Linked DNA regions of Callithrix jacchus. The protein of the gene in region 2 purifies or fractionates together with the protein of the main gene of each other region. This does not show direct contact. Links are inferred from orthologs where the notes say so. Each region holds a gene or a part of one and is shown on either strand. Other genes may lie near its edges.

Region 1 (3,823 bases), on a different chromosome or scaffold from region 2:
ATGTCCTTCAGTAAGGGAATGATGAAACAAACTATGGTGCATAGTACCATGTATACTATTCAGTAATAAAAAGAAGATAAGTGTTGATATACACAACTGAGATGACTATCTAGGAAATTATGCTGAGTGAAAAAAAGCCAATCCTAAAAGGTTACATAGTGATTTCATTTATGTAACATTTTTTTGTTCTTTGAGACTGAGTTTCACTCTTGTTGCCCAGGCTGGAGTTCAGTGGCTTGATCTTGGCTTACTGTAACCTCTACCTCCTGGGTACAAGCGATTCTCTTGCTCCAGCCTCCCGAGTAGCTGGGATTACAGATGCTGCAACCGTGCCCAGCTAATTTTTTGTATTTTTAGTTGAGACAGGGTTTCACCATGTTGGCCAGGCAGGTCTCGATCATCTAACATTCTTAAAATGAAAAAAATTACAGAAATGCAAAACTGAGTAGTGGTTGACAGAGTTTAGGGATTGATATGGGGCCAGGAGGTGATATGGCAATAAAAAGGTAATGCAGGGCATCCTGTGGTGATAGAATTGATCTGTAGCTTGACCAGATCAATGTCAGTATCCTGGTTGTGTTCTACTACAGTTTTGCAAGATGTTACCATTGGAGGGACTGGGTGAGGGACACAAGTATTTTCTCTGTTATTTCTTACATATAGTTGTATGTGAATCTACTATTATCTTAAAATAAAAAGTTTAATTAAATACAAGGTTAGCTGTCAAGTGTTCTATGCACCCTGCTCCCAGAGCTCTTAACATGGCAAAGGAAGCACACAGAAGCATTCCTTTTATTCATAAGTTTGACTTTGTGTTTTGCATTTAAAAAGATTTTTTTGTTTCATCAAATATCCAAGGAAGTTATACTTTTATAAATGTTATTTCAAGTCTTACTTTTCCAGTTTTCTTTTGTGCTCCAGTCATTTTCCTTTTTTTATATAACTTAACCAGTTCTACTTCTTTTTCTTCTTGGAACTTAGCTTCAACTCAGAGAATGTTAGTGAGATTGTACATAGCACTTTAGGCAGGAAGATTTGATGTAGACATTCCTTTTCCTATCACAGAGTTTTGTGTATTTGTGACTTTGGCAAAATTACATGCATAAAATTGTATTCTGATAAATAGCCATATAAGGGGATCATGTTTATGTGCTTTCTTTTTCTTCAACAGAAACCAGCACATCTAAGAGCACCAATGAGCTTACAGACATTACATGGAGTTCCAGTGGAAGTGATTTGTCAGATGAAGATAAGACACCTTCTAAACTACAGAGAGATAATGGACATGGCTCTAGAATAAACAGATTTTGTAAGAGGAGCATTTTGTGTCCAGAAGATGGGGCCAGTGAAGGTAAATTGATAATTTTGTTAGAAATCCAGTTTCTGTTAAATATTGGATTTAATATTGGGAGAAACTTACATTCCTTTCTAGTATTTATCATTAACATTCCACCTATCAGAATGGCTACAATAAAATATAGTGACAATACCAAATGCTGATGAAGTTATGGAGAGATAGGATCACCAATACATTGCAGGTACACAGTAAAATGGTACAGCCACTCTGGAAAACAGTCTGGCGGTTTCTTAAAGACTAACTATGCAGTTACCATGTAACCCAGTAAGTGTACCCTTAGACATTTGTCCCAGAGAATGAAAATTAAATTCCTTTCTAATAGGATTTTACTGAGTCCCACCCTCTGTGCTAAACACTTCAGAAACATTTTCTGACTTGATATTTCTCACAGTAACTGTAAGAGATAGGTATTATTTTTATAGTTAACAGCTTAAGCTTGGACTTACAAGAATGGATTGGGATTCCATTTTAGGTCTCTTTTGCTCCATAGCCAGTTCCTTCAACTTCTACACAGTGCTGCACCCATACTGCCTTCTTGCCAGCCTGTTATTGTTGAGTAAATACTGTGACAACCAATGTGTGATAGAGGTGTAACAGACTGACAAATTTCTATTTAGATGGTGTTTTATATTGTGTCATGTGTAGATAATTTAAAGCAAAGTTTCTCATCCTTGACACTCTTGACATTTTGGGTCAGTTGATTCTTTGCTATGGGGAGAAGCACCTTCCTATGCCTTGTAGGATATTCTGTGTCCCTGGCCCCTACCTTCTGGGTCATGGCAGCATCCCAGCCATAGGGATGATAAACAAAGATGTCTCCAGATGTTGTCAAGGGTCTCCTGAAGTACAAAAATCACCCCTAGTTGATAACCACAGATGTAGAATTATGGAAATCATGTCTTTTTAGAAATTTTACAATATACAAATCATCTAGAGTATTTAAAGATCTTAATGTTTTCAAAATAAGCTTGCGACTTTTAACTCTGACAGTTCATGATAGGTTTGTACAGACAGCTTCTGGGGGGGGTAGTTAAATTCTTTTGACCACTTTGTATCTCATTTTAGTAATTCAATACCCTTGACATTTTAGTAGTTATCAGGTGAAGTGGTGTTTTAAGATTATGTATAAGCTGATAGCACCTGTATTATTAATTCAGACACATTAAATGAAATTTATTGTTACGTAACCCTTGGTTTGTCTTCATACATTTCAGAATACAATTTCAGTAGTACAACTTTGTGCTTTTTGTGGGTAATACTATGGTTTGCAAATTATATCTCAATAAAGCTGGTTTTTTTTTAAAAAGTTTATCTTCTATGAATAGGGACATTCAGTACTTTCTAAAACTCTTAACAGTGGAAAGATGCTTTGTGCTAATTACTTAAGAATGAGTTTATAGTACTTTAAAATTGTTGACTTATCTTAAAAAGTTGAGCACTAAGTGACAAGTAGGTGATCCCTTGGGGTTTGTGTAATTCTGTTTACAGCTTCTGGTTTATCTTTCTCTTCCCCAACTCCCCATCCTCTGCTCGTGTCCTTCCTGTCCCCACTTCTTCCTTCCTTTTTACATTTACTGGTTAAGTTTTTGTTTGACTCAGACATTTGACTGGGTGTCAGATGTGCTTATTTCCTTTGATGTCTGCTGTATCTTGTGTGCTAAGTAGTATCCTCATTTTAGAGAAGAAATATGGGACTTACAAGTCACTTGCCCAGAGTCACATAGTTAATAAGTGTGCCAGCTGGTAACCAGAACCAGGTTTGTCTAACCTGGATGCCGTATGCCTCAGCACTATTGTGGTGGTCACCAAAGCTGGCGTCCAGGTATCAGAATTACCTTGTGAGCTTTAAAAACAATATTCCTAATGCTGAATACAAGCTCAATATATAAACATCCATTTTAATTTTATATGAGTAACAAATTATAGGACAGTTTTAAAAAATATTATTTACATTAATATAACAAATATAAAATGTTAGATCTAAAATACAAAATGTGTAAGATATTTAGAATTATGTAAAAGATTAACAGAAATTAAAATGGAAATTTAAAAAAAGTAAAACGATATTCCTAGACCTTTTTGCAGTCCTGCTGGATTGGTCTCTGGACCTTAAGGCCTGGAATTGGGCTTGAGAGGGAGGAATCCTGACTTAAAATTTTAAAATATTTTTCTCTTAAAAATACTTTCCCTTCCTTTTTTTTTTTGGAGACGGAGTCTCACTGTGTCACCCAGTCACTCAGGCTGAAGTGCAATGGCGCATTCTCTGCTCACTGCAGCTTCTGCCTCTTGGATTCAAGTGATTCTCCTGCCTCAGCCTCCTGAGTAGCTGGTGTTACAGGTGTGCACCACCACACCTGGCTCATTTTTGTATTTTTAGTAGAGACAGAGTTTCACCATGTTGGCCAGGCTGGTCTCAAACTCCTAACCTCAAGTAATCTGCCTACTTCGGCCTCCCAAAGTGCTGGA
Region 2 (3,370 bases):
TCAAGTGATTTTCTTGTCTCAGTCTCCAGAGTAGCTGGGATTACAGGCAGCTGCCACCATGTATGGCTAATTTTTGTATTTTTAGTAGAGACAGGGGTTCATCATGTCGGCCACGCTGGTCTCAAAACTCCTGACCTCAGGTGATCCGCTTGCCATGGCCTCCCATAGTGCTGGGATTACAGGTGTGAGACATTGTGCCTGGCACCTGGCTGATTTATTTTTAGACAGTCGCCCTTTGTCGCCCAGGCTGGAGTGCAGTGGCATGATCTTGGCTCACTGCAACCTCTAGCTCCCAGGTTGAAGCAATTCTCCTGCCTCAGCCTCCCGAGTAGCTGGGACTACAGGCGCGCACCAATGCACCTGGCTAATTTTTTTGTATTTTTAGTAGAGATGGGTTTTGCCATGTTGGCCAGGCTGGTCTTGAGCTCTTGACCTCAGATAATCTGCCCACCTCGGCCTCCCAAAGTGCTGGGATTACAGGCATGAGCCACCGTACCCGGCCTGAAACTCTTTTTATAAAGTTTAAAGTAACAAAACCAAACAATATATTGATTGGGTGCAATACATAAAAGATAATGCTATATTTTTAAAAGAGAAAAAGCATTTTACATTCTTTAGGTCTTTGGATCTGCACATGACCATGGGAAACTGAAGCATAGAAACGTGGTCACCCACCAAAGCTCAGGGCTGGCCTGCAGAGCTTGAACGCTTGCCTGAGCTGGGGTCACCAGCCTGGGTGGGCCACGGAGCGATCATCATTTCTCCATCTGATCGGAAAGTCACCCACCACTCTGTTCTGGGGCCCAGTCCCCCTGGCTCCAGGCAGGCTCGGAGGCCATGCTCTCCTGGACCTGGTGCATCTGGCTGCAACCAGCACTGGGCAGGAAAATACCTCTGGAGCAGTGCCAGGTGCAGGATGTCCCCACTATCTGCCTCCTCCTGGGTCTGGAGGGCCACCATGAGCCCACAGTCCCGGCCAAGCCCAAGCCGGTGGCTGAAGTGGGCAGCTGTGTCTAGAAGTAAGGCAGTGAGGTAGGCGGCTTTCTGGGGCTCCGGGTCTTCTGCTAGGTACTCTTCTAGGCCATCTAGCAGCAGAAGGGAGGGGGCTGGCCCCGGGGCCTCATGGGCAGAGCACAGGAGCCAGAAAAGCTCTCGGGTTGAGGGTGGGTACTGGAAGCGGATCTTCTAGAAGAAGAAACAGAAGGAAAGGGCCAGGTTCAGCACAGGAAGCCAGACTCCCCGCAAGAGTAACCCTGCCTCCTTACATGCTTTTCCTTGCCTCCAGGATGAACCAGTTCAGAGCGGTTCAACATTCTTGTATTCGCCCCTTTTTCCAGCATTCATCACTGCCGAGTATTAGTTGAGGGAAAGCCAATTTTGCTTGTTTTTGGCCAAATCTCTAGGGCAGTTTTTCCACGGAAAACCGCCTCCCAGTATGCTCGGTCCGAGCCCATCATTGACCCCAACAGGAACCAACTCTGGTACAGAATGGACCCAGGCTTAGCTCCGCCCCTCAATCTTAAGCTCCCCAAGGTCCCACCTCCCTTACGCATGCCTGACTCCGCCCCACCATGGCTGCCCTGGCTTGCCTTTCCACCGTCCCCTCCATTGGCTTGTCCACCTGTCACTAAACGCCCCGGATCGACTCCACCATTGGCTAGAACGCCTCTGCTCCCACCCCCACGGTTACTTGGAGTCGCATTGGGTCCAGAGCCGTTCCGGTCCCGCGAGGTAGGCTTTGAAGAGGTCTTCGTGTCAGGAAGAGGACTGGGCCTTGGCCCTCCCCGGCCGCCTCTAGGGCCGCAGCAAATAGCATTGTTGTTTTTCCAGATCCTGGTGCGCCGAGCAGCAGCAAAGGCGGTCCGGCGGCAGGCGTGTTCTCCTCCCTGGACCAGGCCGCGCCTCCCCTACTTAGCACCCGCTTCAGCGTCTCCGCCATTCGCCGTGTACTCTGTCCAATTGGTGGCGCGTTCCCAGCCTTAGTCCCGCCCAAGCTGAGGCCGCATCGGTTATACTTCACTTCGTTTCTCTATTGGTTTAGGAGTCTGTCCATCAAAACTCGATTGACCTTGGCTAGCTCCGCCCCGGGTGAATGGGCAAATGGTTAGAACCTAGTGCTGAGCAATGGGTGCTTTCGAGGGAAATATGACCCTTCCCTGCGGGAGGCTGCTGGGAAAAGCAGCACGAACACTATTATTGTCAGCTAATCAGACAAATATAAGGGTTGAGAGTTGGAGGAGTAGACCGTAATGATTGATATATTATTTCAAGTCTCGTAGCCTCAGTTTGCCCTCCTGTAAAATGGGGCTTAGGATATCTCAGAGGAATATTGTGCTTGGCATGTATCTGTGTGTGGTTTTGCTGATGCCATCCAGTGACAGCTGAGAATTGGAGAGGGGAATGAGCTGTGTGCTTGTCTTTCTGTGCACCTGAGTATGGGCAGGAGTGTGTGTCTGGGGACACGGGCTCAGGGACACTCGTGTGCAAAACATCAGCAGCCATCCCTGAAAGTCAATGAAATGAGGACTCTCAACTTACTTCCTCCCTGGCTAAGGGGTTTAGTGGGGCCTTCCTTGTGGTATGGAGGAAAGGCAGGACCGCAGGCCAAGGAAGAGGGCGTGAGAGACAGAGGAGCTGGAAGACTGAGGGAGAGATACAGCAGGGACACTGTTGGTCTTGTTCACTTCTGTCTCTCCAGTACCCAGAATAGCACCTAGCACATTTGTAGGTTCTCAAATACATAGTCGTTAAATCAATGAAGGAAGGGAGGTGGGATTGATGAGAAACAGGGAGAAAGGGAGGAACAAAGTGAATGATCGTGATCCCTCGCTGCTGGATCTTCTCACCCAGACTTTGCCCCAGAGCTGCCACTCACGCCTGTGTTGCCCTGGCAACCTTGTCTCCTGGTAACTTCAAAGTGGTGCTGTTGCCTGGAGACCCAGGGGCAGGGAGAAAGTGAGATTTCCTGGGCTTTCTCTCTCCCTCTGGGACCAGAAAACAGCTCCATGACATCCCCCAACACGCCCACTCACACAGCTGGGCACCCTCACACCCCTCTACACACACACACACACACACACACCATGGCATCTCTGAATATATTCTACTTTCAGGATCCCCATCACCCACATGCTCCAACCTTGCCCTATCCTGACACAAAGCATCCCATACAAACTATCACACATTCATTCCCCACACCCTTTCTCCTGCTCACACACTATGTCATTGCCAGTACACACACACACACACACACACTGAGGCACACAGTGCACTGTCAAACACACCACCTCAGCCCGCAGATATACAACCCATGAATCACCTCACATTGCAACACTCCAAATGCACAAACAGGCCGGGTATGGTGGCTCAT

What was found.
Region 1: the proteins of SWSAP1 (region 2) and SPIDR purify together in Homo sapiens (co-immunoprecipitation; 3 studies listed by BioGRID and IntAct, with this or other methods). This does not show direct contact. The link is inferred for Callithrix jacchus from reciprocal best matches to the Homo sapiens genes SWSAP1 and SPIDR.

What each region holds. Positions count from the first base shown.
Region 1 is NC_133517.1:7,384,141-7,387,963, reverse strand, and holds part of SPIDR (DNA repair-scaffolding protein), read left to right. Parts: intron 1-1,171; coding exon 1,172-1,351; intron 1,352-3,823. UniProt on the Homo sapiens protein: Plays a role in DNA double-strand break (DBS) repair via homologous recombination (HR).
Region 2 is NC_133523.1:10,522,132-10,525,501, reverse strand, and holds SWSAP1 (ATPase SWSAP1), read right to left. Parts: upstream 1,954-3,370; 5' UTR 1,940-1,953; coding exon 1,691-1,939; intron 1,186-1,690; coding exon 682-1,185; 3' UTR 569-681; downstream 1-568. UniProt on the Homo sapiens protein: ATPase which is preferentially stimulated by single-stranded DNA and is involved in homologous recombination repair (HRR). Has a DNA-binding activity which is independent of its ATPase activity.